Linked DNA regions of Drosophila melanogaster. The protein of the gene in region 3 purifies or fractionates together with the protein of the main gene of each other region. This does not show direct contact. Each region holds a gene or a part of one and is shown on either strand. Other genes may lie near its edges.

Evidence for each region.
Region 1: the proteins of Rac2 (region 3) and PlexB purify together in Drosophila melanogaster (affinity purification with western blotting, with the first as the bait; one study listed by BioGRID). This does not show direct contact.
Region 2: the proteins of Rac2 (region 3) and Pak3 purify together in Drosophila melanogaster (affinity purification with western blotting, with the first as the bait; one study listed by BioGRID). This does not show direct contact.

Annotation. Positions count from the first base shown.
Region 1 is NC_004353.4:40,708-45,558, forward strand, and holds the start of PlexB (plexin B), read right to left. Parts: upstream 3,072-4,851; 5' UTR 2,718-3,071; coding exon 2,207-2,717; exon of another isoform or gene 2,067-2,206; intron 579-2,066; coding exon 1-578.
Region 2 is NT_033777.3:16,449,087-16,455,699, forward strand, and holds the start of Pak3 (Pak3), read right to left. Parts: upstream 4,736-6,613; 5' UTR 3,825-4,735; coding exon 2,115-3,824; coding exon of another isoform or gene 2,073-2,114; 3' UTR 1,881-2,072; intron 1-1,880. Other genes in the region: CG10405 (uncharacterized protein), read left to right, coding at 5,481-6,094, 6,399-6,439, 6,513-6,613.
Region 3 is NT_037436.4:7,432,172-7,436,866, forward strand, and holds Rac2 (Rac2), read right to left. Parts: upstream 3,020-4,695; 5' UTR 2,340-3,019; coding exon 1,761-2,339; 3' UTR 591-1,760; downstream 1-590. UniProt on the Drosophila melanogaster protein: Involved in integrin alpha-PS3/beta-nu-mediated phagocytosis of Gram-positive S.aureus by hemocytes.

The DNA.
Region 1 (4,851 bases), on a different chromosome or scaffold from region 3:
AAAAACCGTTACTAAAACGTGATCGTCTTTTTTTATGCCCATTTTTTGCGCCAATTTGTGGCTGGCTGGAGTTACTTTCGCATCCCTTACAATATTGTAGTCAACATTGTTTTCAGTTGCAGTGCATTGAACAGTTATTTCAGTATAGCTGTCGTAATTAGGATCTGTAATGCAAATGCGTGCCAAGCGTGTTACATAACCGGCCTCATCAGCTAAATGTGATTTTTTTTGAACAATTATGAAGTACGCATATTCAGAAGAATTAAAGCCGTAAATATAATCGACTAGAAAATGATCCCGATATTTTACATCGATATTTATAATTGACTGCTGTATTGAAAATTCAGCATAGTTTAAATCATCAAGTCGGCGGGACGAAATGGCTGGCACGTCATGACGATAATCACCAACATTCGTAAATGTTGTCCCCACATATAAAATATCCTCTTCTTTCCACGCATATCTCGCCGGACCTACAAATGCATATGTAGACGCGTTTTCATCGTTAGCAGCCAATGGAACTGCAAAAAACTGGGGCGTTGCCGGAAAACGTGGCAGGCTGTAAATTTCGCAGGCTCCTGAAAATAAAGATAATTTTATTACTATCGCGGAATTTTTTAAAACCTATTTTAAGGACAAAATATAACACCTAAGTCATAGTATCCATTGGACTTGATATACCCGTAACTTGTAAAGTAAAAATGTATACTACATGTAGAACGGAACGTCACCGAGCCTATAAAATATCAAAAATCCTGATCTTGATCACTAACCGAGTCGATCTACTCATGTCCGTCTGCCTGTCCTTAGCCCACGATTTTCTCGCCGTGGCTCTAGAGGTTGCTCCAGGCTCTCTCGAATTTTTGTTCGAGAGCGAGAGAGCGGAGAGCGCTACAACGAACAGCTCTTTTCTACGCATACAGTGATACCAGACATCTGTGTGTGTGCACACGTGTGCTCATGCATTGTAAATTTGACAATATATGCCCTTCACCTTAGAAGTTCATAGACTTTAAATCTATATTATTTTTGATCAATTGGCACCATGCGAAAAATTCTTGTTTTGCATTGCCTTAACGTTATTATTATTTGAAAATAGATTAGAAAGAGTCAAACCTATGTACATATTATCACAAAAAAAAATTTCAAAAATGACTTTATAATATTATTATATTCATTAGAGTATTCAGCTTTCGACGTGTGAAAAATTAATAAGGCAATGATTGTTGAGTGCTTGTGTCCGCACTTCGTGCCTCAAGATACATATGACTTGCAATAAACAGTTTTCATATTTTTATTTATGTTAAAAATTTTTATTTTCTACTACGTATTATTTTTATGAAATTTTTTTAATTTTAATATGATGTATAAAATGATCCATTTTTATTATTTAAAATGCACATTAGATTCAGTTGTTTAGTTTCAGTTTTTTTTTTGTTATATTCCAATTTGATATTCCTAAAAAAGAGCGCAATTTCATCATATTGCTACGAAATTGGCCAAAACTTACCAAATATGTAAATTCGTTTATTCGATCAGAATTGATTTCAGGAACAGTAAAAATTGTTAACTGATTCGTTGAAAAGTATTTTAAAGACGATTCGCATCGCATGATTGAAGTAATATTATGCCCAAAACTGCCCGCCCATATTTTTGCAAACATTTTAGAATATTTTTTTTAATTTTATTAGTTGCTTAAACTTTTTGCCACGCCTACTCTAACTCCCTAAAGCCGCCAAACCGGTCACGCCCACACTATTGAACATTTTTCAAATTGTTTCTTCTTTTATTCCCCAATATCTATCGATATCCCAGAAAAATGATGAAATTTCGATTTCGAGTTCGCATTCACACTAGCTGAGTATCGGAGATCTTGACTATAGCATATTATCTTGTTTTATTTTAATACTTTAACGTTAATACTACCCAAATTGTTTCAAGAGTTCAACTATAGATTTTTTAATTTATAACATTTTAAAATCCTGTTTTGTTTATCATCATATTCCTTCCGCACTTTTGAATAATTACTTATATTCGCCGCTTTTTTATGTGGAGCTCAAAAACACTGCGACATTGTTCTACGATGACTACAAAAAATGACCAATAACTTCTATAAACCAATACGATATGTCAGGAGTTTCGGTCCCATACGAAGTCGCCGACTTAAGTATTTTATTTTTATTTTGATATGTGTTTGCTATTTTACCTTGTCGAATGCTTCCACACGCTATGAGAATACCATCGTGAGCGTAGCTTACTACTAGAATTTTGTTGAAGTTATTGACAAGCGATGTCTCAATATCTTCCGGACAGCCTCCAGCGTGACATTGCGGGGAATCATGTAACGGCCCAGTAACAGCCTCGGCCAGCACTCGAAGGTTTTCGTTAAGTTTAAGTATTTTATTTGTAGCACCCGCAAACAAAACATTGTGCATAAAGTCGAAGCTCATGTGAGTAAAATAATTTTTAGATTGAGAGTCTCTAACACTTTCTATATTGTTTCCAATTGATCGATTGCCATAGCTGGAAGCTGTTGATTGAACTGGTATTGATGGCAAGTTAAACTGGGCGACTATGTCATTTAAGGGAGATAACGCCTGAGCCGGCAGTTCTTCAATGCAGTTAACGCAATAATGCTGAGAACCGAGTATGATAATAATACACAGTACATGTAAAACATGTATAATGTTTGCACAATACAATTCCTTTCGCAACATATTTATTTGTGGTTTTGTGTATGATCAGTTTGTAGTTGAGTTTGGGCATCAATTCCCCATATGTCATTTTTATTATTATTTAGCTCTACATTCTCTCTCCTTAATATATAAACTTTTTAATATCGATTGAATTTAATGCGAATTAATTTTATATGCCGCTGATTCACTGTAGGTGCATAAATATTTTTAAATTAAAATGATCCATTTGGCTATTTTAGGTTTAGCGCATTTTTTATAAGGTTGTTTAACACAAAAAATCGATTAGTCAATGTAAACAAATATTTATTTAAAAAAAACTTCTTAGGCAACGCTCAAACGTTGTGTGTACACTATCAGTCCTAGAGCAGATTATTAGTATCGGCTGTATCAGCCTATCGCATACAAATTGAACTATCGAGCTAGAGGGCATTGTAATGCTGTATTCACAAGGAGCACATTAAAGGGAAGCTTACCATTAAAAACCTCGGAAGTATTTATGTAGATATCGTTTAAATGTTTTCAGTTCTGATTCCACATCCAATCAATTGGCTAATGTTAAAAGAAAAAAGAAAGAAGACACCACCGATGGAGTCTAAAATGTTCCAGGAACATTTTTGTAAAATAATATCAATGAAATGGTAGTCGCGTTAAAAAGAGCAATCTCCAAAGAATCTAAATTGATCTCATCTTCTTCCATGCAACACTTGCCGTGCGCGCTATTTTTATCTTAATATTGTTTTTGATTCGAGTGTTACAGACCCACCTATCTCTACACAAAGTTTTGAACAACATTGATTTATGTGGCACGATGGCTAAAATTTTATAAAATTATTTTAAAATCATAACATGTTTAATGTTAAATTATTTCATTAAGGGTTTCTCATGGCATGGAGGCTTCAACGCCACGTAGTGTTTGGGACTATTTATGTATATACTTATACTAATTTTACTTATGTACCTTTTTTACTATTAAAATTATATAAATTTAAAAAATTTGATTATTATTATTCAACAATTTTTGGAAAATTTGTCCAACGAATGGCTATTTTGCTAATCAATTGTCTTATTAATAATTTATTGAATTTCTCTACAACTGTAAATTAAGACCAACCGTCATTAAGACCTGTAAATTATTAACACTTAGTTAAATAAGTATCACTAAATAGATTATATCGGTGGGTTTTAAATTTTGACTGAATTGAAGATTCGATTTTTATATATTCTCAGAGAGATTTCTGATCCTGTCATACGTACATATGTATATACAATTTCATTTATTCTCCGAATATATAAGTTAAATTAGGGAACCACTACAGATATTGAAGTTTTATTTGTGGATTTTTTTCAACACTTAGCATTGGATATTGACCCCTATAAAAATGCTTCATCAATCCATTTGTGTAGTCACTTTGCAAGGGTGTACTTCGGTTAACCGACTATATTTCAAAGCGATAGTTAATGAAACTTATGCTGCTATCACATTATTTACTGTGAAAATTCTTTGTGAACTGAAGAGCAATCGGGAACATCGATCTTGACAACGCCGAATTCGTTTTGGTATAACACAGGATCTTTAGTTTATACTTGGTTGGCATCACATCGAAACTTAGCACGGGAAACCATGGTTAATCGACAATATTTGCGCTGTGCAACATGTACAAGTACATAAATAGAACTGTTTACACATAACAACAATGTATCAAAAATCCGTTAACAGCCGACGTGAACACTCGAAACATAACCAGACCTGCCGCAGAAAATGCTGCGATAAGAGATGCTAAAGAGATAAACCATCTCTTACCAAAAAGTTAGATTAGATTGACCAAAGAGGTTAATGTGTACACTTAAACTGTCTATAATCTTTACAACACATATAATGACAAACATGGATATTTTTCAACTCAATAAGAGAATAATTTATTAGGAATTTGGAATATCAAACGGCACAATGATACGCAGCTCTTACTTACTTACTTTTTATTAATTTTAATTTTCTTTTTACAAAAAAAAAAATGTATGCTTGGAGCAAATTATTAGGAATTATATAAGTATAATATTATTATTATAATAGTGTTATTCCCAGCTAAGAACAAATCGCTTGTCATCGGGAAAACGTTTTTGATTTTATAAATTAGTTTCCACCTTTCCAGTTTTG
Region 2 (6,613 bases), on a different chromosome or scaffold from region 3:
AACGAAGAGAATGTTTTAGTTTTTGCGCAAATTCCTGAGCGTATCCCTCCTTTCTCCCTGCTTCCAGTACTTGCAGAATTAAAGATTTCAATATCCGCAAGTGAGAAGAACCATCGCTATCTCTCCCTCACTCTCCCGCAAAACGGAAAGCAAAAGTATGCGCCAGTAATATAAACAAATAGAGAGCCTAGAGATCCGGTAGAAGTTGGAGAAGAAACCAGGGGCGGATCTAGTTGTGGTTTGCAAGGAATATTCCCCTAATGTTTTGGTAATTAAACTTAGCTTCTGAAAGTATCTTTTAATTATACTCTCAGTTGTCACCACATTAAAATATTTAAACCTACTGAAAAACTAGCCTCCAGATCCGCCCCTGGAAAATGCAGAGCCAGTGCATCACAATGCAGGGGAAGATGCAAGCCAAAGTGGGAGTGGGAGAGAGTAAAAATAGCGCAGCCGAGTCGCGACGTCGCCATCCCCCCTCTCGTTTGCTCCTGCCACAGAAGCAATTAAGTTGAGTAAGTGGGAGGGCGACCAAAGATGCAGAAGAACTAAAGAAGAGTGAGAGAGAGAGGAAGAGGCCGAAGAACCGCCATCAGAATCAATTATACACACTCTCATTCTTTGTGTTACACACACTCAGTTTGACTTTGACTCCACTTTCGCTCTCTCGCCACCCCCTCTCTAGCACTCTCTTTCTCGCACTCTCTCGTAGAACTTTCACGATCTATTTTTTAGCTTTGCTTATCACATTGGAAATGGACGAAAATTGTTCTAAGAATTTGATAAATTCCCCTCCGGTTTCTCTACAGCTGGGGGAATTACAATAGCACTTATACAGCATGTTGTACGCGCCTGATAAGGCCAATACAAATGCATTTCGCTGCGCGTAGGTGTTTTCGCTGTCTGTGTGCCTGAATTAAAGTTTTCTTTATTATGATGTATGAATATTTTTTGGCCAGACAAAGCGATATTCCAAACAGGAAATGCGAACGAGCGTGTTAAATTGCGTACTCAGTTGTTGTTTGTTGTTACTGCCGGAGCGGCTTCTTTCTTTTACTTGCTTTTTTGTCCATTGTCGGTTTTCAATGGAATGGTTTGTGCAAAAACCCTATACGTAATAGGTGTCCAAACGAATGAGACATAAACAATTGCAGCGCTAGCCAAGTAACGGTGTGTGCTCTCATGTAGGAAAATCCCAAACTTCATTATTACGGAGAGATGTTCATGGAAATGGCAAAGAATTTTTTTAATTCAGGAAATAATAATATTTTTGCTATACCAGAAAACTAAAAAATGTGTCTTTTATAATAACGCATTAAGTTATCATCATCTGGTTTTTTCAAATCATGTTTGAATCATATGAAACGAAGAAAATTAAATATTTGTTGAATAAAACATGAGTTTTAAGTATAACTGTTTGTAGAAGTGAATCATTTTTGGATTAAATCCAACCCCACTGGTCCCAGTCCATTTCTCTGATGGATGACTTTCTAAATCATATTAAGCTGTCTTGGCACCATAACATATTTGCTCTATAGGGCGTTGCAAGCAATTGACCGCGTTAAAGATTCCCTTTCCCAGGTATACAAGAAATAAAATTAATCAGAGACAAAAGCCTCGTGCACTTCGCAACCTTGATCGAATTTAATCTGTTGTTCGAACCGAAGTGAGTTACTGATTAAAAGTCCCAAGATAGGCAACTATCGCTGTTTTGGGTCTAGGTCTTTGACAAAATTTAGACAGCAAAGAGAAACTAACCCATCGGACAATAAACCGACAGCCTCTGTTTCCACATGTGCGATTGCGAAAAGGTTTCCGTTGAAATGGATATCGTTTCGCTTGAATAATGAGCTTGGCCAAATGGGCTACCTGGGACTTACCTGTTTTCGAAGGGGAGTTGCCGGGTCCTAGTCCTGCTTTCGCCATTTCTACGGTTGTACATACTACAAAGACTACGGTCAGCATTCTATTCCAGTTCCAGTTCCGGTTTCGTCCACACAAAACAAATTTACATTGAAAACTCATTATACACACGGGGCAGATCCCGAACCCGAACCCGATTCCGCTTCCGATCACGCGTAGAGCAGCCTGGCCGTCCGGTGATTGCATAGCAACTATACGTTGCGTCGGAGCACCTTCTTGGCCGCCTTGATGTTGGGCACGAGGGCCTTGACCTCGCTGCAGTCGTTGAGGAACGGATGGCTGAGCAACTCGTCGGCGGTGGCCCTTCGGTCCACCTCCACCTGGAGACAGCGATCGAGAAAGTCTTGAAGGTTGGGACTCAGCTTATCCCAGCTCTTGATATCCGGCCGACCGTTGGCGGCGATCAGGTAGAGGGCGCGGAGTGGAGTCTCGTATAGGTAGGGTGGCTGGCCTTCGATCATCTCGATGGCCATGATGCCGATAGACCAGATGTCCACCTTCTTGCCGTACTTCTTGCGCGTGACCACTTCGGGCGCCATCCAGTACGGCGTTCCCACCATTGTCTGGCGCTTCTCATCGCCCTCGATGTTGGCGCAGAACCCAAAGTCCGTCACCTTAACACTGCCATCCATGCCCAGCAGCACGTTGTCTGACTTGATGTCCCGGTGGATAATGCCCTTAGCGTGCAGAAAACTAATAGCGTAGAGTGTCTCGCGGCAGACGCAGGCAATCTGGCGCTCCTTCATCACAGTCTCGGTAACGACGTCAGTCAATGGGCCGCCATCCATGTACTCCATGACTACCCACAGTTGGTCCTCGGGCTCCAGAAGGTAGGCATCCAGAAAGTTTACCAGATTCTTGTGGTTGAAGTCCTTGAGCACTCGGATTTCTGTGAGTATGAGATCCTTCGAGGACTGGTTCTTCATATCGATGGTCTTGACGGCCACCTGCGATTCGTTCTGCAAATCGGCGGCTATGAAAACTATGCCAGAAGCTCCCTTGCCCACCTCCTGGGTGGTCTTGTAGCGTTCCCTTGGGTCATCTGAATTGCAAATTGCCCGCAGCTCAACGTAGATTTCGGCATCGGTTTTCTGGGCCCTCTTCTCCTTGGAGCGGCGCAGTATCGTCTCGTCGGGATTATCATCCGCTCCAGCATCCTGGGCCCCTACGGCTGGCTTGATGATGATTGTGTCTGTGTTGATCTTGTGCTGGTTGTCGGAGTCCTCATCTCGACGTATATCCGAAGTGCGTGAGAACTTCTGTGTGACACGAGGTTTGGGCTTGATTTGCGGTTTGGGCGGTATGGTGTGGGGCGATTTCTTGGGCGGTACTGGTGGAGGCTCTTGCGGTGCGGCCTTCAGCGTTTCGCGGTGCTCCAGATTGGTCTTGAGCTCCTTGAACACCTCCTCTAGGGCGTCCAGCGGCACCGTCGACTGCTGGCTGCTGTCGTTGATGCTGCTGCTGTTACTATTACCTGCCGAGGAGCCACAACCGCTGCTACTTTCCGTCTCCGTGGCCGTCGAACTGCCATCGTCGTCGGACTTTTCGGGATCCTGAGACTTGTGCTTGTTTTTGTAGTTGACATAGTTTTCTATCTCCTTGGACTCCTCGTGGATCACATCTTCGGTGATGAAGGGCTTGAAGACCTCGTTCTCTTTCTTCTTAATCGAATAGTTGTAGTACTTAACGGCATGGTAGGCAGCATCTGGATTCTTGTCCTGCTCATCGCGAGTGATCTGTGAGTTCATTAGGCGCACCCATGGAGCTGGAAGCCCCTCCAGGTCGCCGGTTTCCTGGTTGCGCGAGACATGGAAGTGCCGTTGGAAGTTTGTGGGTGCACCGATCTCTGAGATCGATCCCCCATCTCCGCCCTTCTTCTTGAACCACTTGGTGAAGCTCATTTTCCAGCGGCTTTCTCTCTCTTTATTGTATAAGAGTGTGTGTGGGTGGGGGGGATTTTCTTCAATGCGTTTAGTAACGCTCGACTTGGGAAATTCTAAACGCTCGGCAGATTTGTTGTTGTTTCGCGTTCGGTATTGTTAATGTTACTGTTACTCAAGCCACCACTCTCGCTCTCTTTCTCTCTCTCACTGAACCAGCCGTGAGTCATAAACACATGCACAAGCACGCACACTCGCTCGTTCGGCCTGCGCTTTGTGTATGTGTGCGAGAGCTCTTCTTATCTCTAACTGTAGCTGTAGTTTCTTTCGCTTTACGAAAACGCAGAAGATTTTCACTTTTTATTGGCCCCACTCGCTTTGCTAATTATTAATTTAGCTACCTTAATTTATTCAGCAATCACCAGTTTTCAATTGCTCAACACACAAAGGCGGACGCGGACACGAACACGCACACATCTCGAAGTCGGACACAAAAGGAGTGGCCGTCGCAGTCTTGTTCTTCCAGTGTCTGTTGTTGTTGCTGTTCTTACGCGGGCCGAAAACTGCCTTCCCGTATAGTTTTTTGTTAGCCCTTCCAGGCTTCCATAACTATACGGAAGTATATTGTTGATTTGGGTATATCTAAGCCGCTTTCAGAGCAACACTCCGAAATTAATAACTTCTTTGGTTTTTCCCTTCGCTTTGCTGCAATCGCACTGCTGCACTCGGCCTGCTATTGTTGTCGCACTCGCACCAATTGTGCCGACAAATGCGAATTGTGTACGATGTACACTCTTTATTTTTACTATTAAGCCTAAAGGTTAATTCGCGATTTTAAGCTGCTCTTTGCGTTGCAATTTTATGTTTCTTAGGATGAACCGAAAAACATCCGCGCGTGTGTAATTCTTGAAAATTGCAGACTAAGTGTGACCGCAGCTAAGTTGGGCGAGTATTCCACTGTGTGGCCTTTTATCGAAACATCGACACTTTTATAGGACTATCGATGCTGGTCAAGTGGTTCAGTATTTTTTCCAACAATTTTGAGTCGGAACACTTTAAAAATATTACAAATAATTTTTTATAAAATAATATAAATATTATTCTAAACGGCCATGCTACTGGATAAATGCCTTTTAGTATTGACTAACAAAAGTTTCTTATAATTTTAAGTATTTATAGACCCTCAACTAGTTTTAGTATATATAGGTTTCCAATTCTTCAAAAATCCGAATCCGGTAATTAATAGAACTCAGTTAAATAAAAGAACATTTAAACATCCATCTTACATTCATTTATATTTGGGTATTTTAAACCTCATATCTTGTGATCTTGTGATATCTATATATATATATCTTCTGATCTTCCCATAAGAATCGATTTTTTAAAAAGATAAAAACTACCTTTTTTTATCAAAATGGTTTAACCATTTCTGCATTTCCCCGATGCTCTTGCGGAAGTTCATTGCCATCGTCACCGCTGTAAACAGTAATAAAATCAGAGAATCTGGCAGATAGGCAACAAAAAAACCCAAGCGACAATGGCTAATTACGGGCAACGGAGCAGCTTCTTCAGAAATCGTGTACCCCACTAGATAACGTCCGTGATTGATAAAGCGCCATTGAATATATCGACTTACGGATTCCCAATGCTGGTTAGTTTCCACTCGTTCGCAGCGTCATGCAAAAGTGCCGAGCTCCAATTCCGTTTCTTCTCATAGCTGGGATCCTTGTGATCCTGGAAGCATCCCGCACAGAGGCTGCCGTCCCTCGGCAGCCGGACAGTCGGATTGTGAACGGACGCGAAGCCACCGAAGGCCAGTTTCCATACCAACTCTCGCTGCGCCGCCAAACGGTACACATCTGCGGCGCCTCGATTCTCTCCAGCAACTGGGCCATTACGGCCGCTCATTGCATCGACGGGCATGAGCAGCAGCCGCGGGAATTCACACTCCGCCAGGGCAGCATCATGCGTACCTCGGGCGGCACTGTTCAGCCGGTGAAAGCCATCTACAAGCATCCGGCCTACGATCGGGCGGACATGAACTTCGACGTGGCCCTTCTACGAACAGCGGACGGAGCACTCAGCCTGCCGTTGGGCAAAGTGGCGCCCATTCGATTGCCCACCGTTGGCGAGGCCATCTCGGAAAGCATGCCCGCCGTCGTCTCCGGCTGGGGACACATGAGCACCTCCAATCCCGTCCTGTCGTCGGTACTCAAAAGCACTACGGTACTGACAGTCAACCAAGAGAAGTGCCACAACGATCTACGCCATCACGGAGGCGTCACCGAAGCGTAAGCAGGGGAATCATACTACTTTTTTAAGTTCTGTTTACCCAAGAGACTATTCCCTACATATTATGCCATGTAGATTGAACAAATTAAGAGTTTATCTCTATACACAACTCTGCCTTTCCAAAAATACTTCTAATTCTAGAAGACAGAAGCCCCAAAAAACTCACGAAGTCACTCACTGCTTGAGCACAATTTAAAAATTTTCAAAAGGGAGTTGGTACTTGAGATACATCTCTATTTATTGTTCTCAAGTGTTTATTGGTAAGACAAAGCCAATTAATTCCCAATTTATATTATCTTTCAGAATGTTCTGCGCGGCCGCCAGAAACACAGACGCATGTCAAGGTGAGCCCAGATAATTACAATTACGTTTAATCGACATGTTGATAATGACACCGTGAACCTCATCATTTTTCAGGCGACAGTGGAGGTCCGATCAGCGCACAGGGAACCCTTATCGGAATCGTATCCTGGGGAGTTGGCTGCGCGGATCCGTACTATCCAGGAGTTTACACCCGC
Region 3 (4,695 bases):
GCCCCTCATCATACTCGTATCCGCGGGCAATCAATCAACAGCTGGCTCATTATGACAATCGAAGTATTCTATAGATATAGATAGAATTGAAAGAAAGCGGAGCATAAAGACATAAATAAATATGATGTAGCCATTATAGTATATAGGCATATGTATGTATGTATGTATGATAGGACTGAAACTGGCAAATTGCTTAGTCAACCGGTCCGGGGATCAGAACTTCCGGCGTGTCCGGCAATCGGAAATAATTATCTAAAATTTGTGACAAATGCGGGTGCAGATAAGATTAAAGTTGCCAGGCGTGTGCAATTTTCCCCACTAGCCGAAAAGTATGCAGCAGTTCAGGGGTCAAGCACCATTGCATTGCCAACTATGAAAACCTTTAAATATACCCACATTACTTCCATAATAGACATAAATCTGAATTGCACTTTGCTCCCAACATAATTCATCCGACTATTTAGTTTTGTACAAACGTTTATTTTGGTTGATTAATATTACACTCTTTATTGATAAATTATGTGTTAATATAAATAAAGTGTTTCCTTTTTTTTTAATTTACCGCTCGCTCTCTTTCGTTAAAACAAATTGGCAAAATGTATGCATTTATTTAACATAAATATCAGTATATAAATTAACATCAAAGTAGAGGCTAATTGTGCATTTAGTATACATTAAATCAAGTCCAGGCAAATGCGTTGAGCGGGAAGACCATTGATCAGACACACACACACACATTCACACGTAACTCTAAATACTATATGTATAAATGAAAGTTCTTTTTTTGTCGGCTTCCCACATTCCCCGATTGTTCAGATATTGGCCATAGGCGGGGCCTTTCCTGGGGTTTTTCTTCCACACCCAGATAACGGCTATCTGGTACTGGTTATAGTGACTGCGTTTGGGGCGCTAAAGGCTATAAATCGTCTAGATTTATTTACAATTAATTTTATTTGATTTGTCATACGTTTCTCAGGCCGAATTTCATTTGCAAAGTTCTAATTTCTGCTGTTTAATATAATGCACTTGCGTTTTAAGGCAATTTATGGATTACTATTTGCGAAAATCAAAATTTCTTTTTTTGCAATTAACATTATATAAAAAATGTTTTTTTAATTAGTCGAAATCATTTTTAAAATGTTAATTCTTGTATGTCATAAGCGCAAAAGTATGAGTTGTACTTAATCTAAATTCTAAAACAAGTTAGTCATTAAAAATACTACGAAACAATAACTCAGAACAGAAAAATTTAAACATGTTATCTAGAGCAATATAGAAATTAATTTGAGCAATATTACATCAAATATCTCAAGTTTTAGAAGTTCTTCCACATTTATTTTACTGTGTACGCACAATATCATACTTATATGCTTATGTGTATATCTTTCTATCCGTGATCTGCCCCCCAGAGACCCCTGGCCCCGCCCCCACCCTGTGTAGCCCCCTTGCTGATAGCTGTGTTGTTGTTTTTGTGGCTGCTGCTCCCCCACATAAAGCTGACAATAAAAACAAAACTACGCTCACTCATTCACACACTCATGCCGTCACACTCGCAACCCAGAGACGCGCTCACACTTGCACTCACATCACACACACACACAATACACACACTCACACACTATCTGCTGTAACTAAAGACCCAACAAAGCGAATATGAATATTTTGCACAGAATTTTGCGCTTTGTTCTCTTCTCTTCTCGTTTTTTTTTTTGTTTTTGTTGAAGTTCTTCGCGTTTTTGTTTTGGGTGGGTTCAAAGTTCTTAGAGCAGGGCGCACTTGTGCCGCTTGGGTCCTCGAACGACAGGACATAGCACGGATCGTATGGCCTCGTCGAAGACCGTCTTCAGACCCTTTTGGGTCAGGGCCGAGCACTCCAGATACTTGACCGCAGCTATTTCCTTGGCCATCGCCAGTCCTTGGGGATAGGTGATCGGTGTTAGCTTCTTGTCCTTCAGCTTCTCGATCGTCTGCTTATCGTCGCGCAGATCCAGTTTGGTGCCGACCAGGATTATCGGCACACTCGGGCAATGATGACGCACCTCGGGAAACCATTTGGCTCGCACATTCTCAAACGATGCCGGATTCACCAGTGAGAAACAGATGAGAAAGACATCCGTTTGCGGATAGGATAGCGGCCTCAGGCGATCGTAGTCCTCCTGTCCAGCCGTATCCCAGAGGCCCAGATTGATGGGCTTGGCATCCACCATCACATTCGCCGAATAGTTGTCGAACACCGTGGGTATGTACTCGCCGGGGAAGGCGTTGGTCGTATAGCTGATCAGCAGACAGGTCTTTCCCACCGCTCCGTCGCCCACAACCACACACTTGATGGCCTGCATGATGAAGGCTACTGTACTGGTGGTACTACTGGGCAATCGATGGGTTCAGCAGCTCGATGGGTTGCTTGTGCGCTGGGGGCAGAGGGTTTTTCAGTGGATCAGCTGGTTTCGTGCTCGATTTCCAGTGGCTCAACTGGTTTTCTTTGTGGCAGCTTAACTTATAATTACTTTGGGGTAATTCATTCAATTCAGTAGGTCAGACAGTTTTTGAATGCTTCGATATTTGTACTTTTGAACTATTTTGTACTTTTCTTTTTTCTGTTCAACAGACAAATTTTAGTCACACAATTTAGTTTTGCCTTGTATCGCAGCTCAGCTAGTTTTTCTAATTGTATAGCTTTTGCTTTTCGCGTTGGCGTTTTGCTTTTATTGTTTTTTTTTTTTGGCGATTATACAATAATTTGCTCACGCACTAATACAAATTCTGCCCACACACACACACACATTCAAGCAATCGCGTACAGAGAGAGATGCGAATTTGAAGTGGAGTTTGATTTATCGCGAAAGTTGTCAAATCAATATTCTTAATTGAAAGCAGAACCGTGACGGCGTTCTTTCTGTTCGGTCGGTATATTATTTATGAATTAATTGGGCCCGCATATGTGGGGATTTGCTGATTTTCTGTGGCAGAAACGGAAAAAACACGCCCAAACGCTGTGAAATCTTCGCGGCGATTGAAGAAAATTTCTGCCTCCGCTGGCAGTTGTTGTACTTGTTTTTTCACTGTAGTTTTCGCTCTTTCAACTGGCTTGTACGGCTGTCTCGCTCGTTCGCGTGCGTTAGTCGCTTAAACGAAGCGCTGCGCGCATACGCTCTCCCACACAAAGAGCGAGCGAGCGAACGTGAGCGAGAGCGGCACTGGCACAGTGCAGTCCCATAAAATTAGTCACAGTGAGTCATTCGCTCGGTGACGTTAGTCGTGGCAATCCACAGAGAGCAGAGCGAGACAGAGATAGTGAGTCTCTTTACTTGACCTTGCTTTGGTCGTTTTTGTAGAGTTTTCTATATTCGTTCGACGGTTTTCCACGAATTTCCCGACCGTTGCTGTTGTTTTGAGCCAATTTCCACGCGACTAGAGGCTATCAGAGATGTGCGGTACCCAACTCAGGTACAAATCGCCCGTAGCTTATCGCGGTACAATTACAGTGCCACACCAAAAACAAGCAAAACGTTGATATCGCGCGATATAAATATTAATTGAACAATATTTTTTTTATTGATGAATCAATTATGTGACCTAAATATGTGTCACAGTCTTTGGATGAATATACTTAAATGGAAGTATTCATATTTTAAAATTGGAAACTCAAATTTAGATTCTGGAATTACTTTTAATTCTCCTTAATTCGGGCCATATTAATTTACGACCGTTACATCCCATCTAATTCTTAAACGAATTATTAAATTTTTCATGACCAGCGATATTTGCTGCCGTTGACTGTTTTAATGGACCACAAAATTGCGTGTGTCGGCAAAAACCAAAGCCCAAGGAATAACAAACAAATAACATTGGCAAACAGTGCAAAATATCGACAGTAAAAACCGAAAAGCAAAAACAGAACCCAAACCGAATCCACCGAATCCGCCGCATCCGCATTCAGCCAAAAGTGATAGCCGAAATATTTCGTGTTTGTGTTTTGGCTTCCGCCCCACCAACCAGAAGCCCAAAACATCCCCCCCCCCCGTCCTCCACATGCCACGCCCATTTTCGCATTGATTTTAAAATGGAAATGTTTAAAGTGCCGTCGGCGAATATTTTCGCATTTAAGTTAATTTCTCGCACTGCTGATGGTGCTGCTGTAATTGGATAATTAAATAGGCGCCACAAAATTTGTTCTCCAGCAATCCGAACAACAAGCACGAATATATGAATTTCAATAATATGCATTTTCAAAAAGTTTTTAATGGAATTTACTGTAAAAAATCCGCAACAATTAAATCGCCAATGAAGTCCGTTCAAGTGGAATAAATGTTTCTGTTTCCGTTTGTGCGTGGATGAATCATTCGATTTCGTATTCGATTTCAAGTGGGCGGGTGGGCGTCGCAAGGTTATCAGCGGGTCAGGGCGTGAAACAAAAACAACACTTTTTCGAATTAATTTTCAAATTACAGCGTAATTTAATAGATTAACCAATCGAAAGCTTTTGGCTAAAACAATGGTGTTAAATTAAGTTGAAAAGCGATAAGCGCAACAAATAATGCAGTTATCAAATTACCTTTCAGCAAAGTTATTTACTTAAACCATAACATTTTGAAACCCAAATGAGCCTTTAAGCTCCCAGAAAAAAAAAACATTTGATTGCAGTGTACCTATATTTTCCATTGCTAGCATATCCGGTGGTCAAAAGGGTTCATC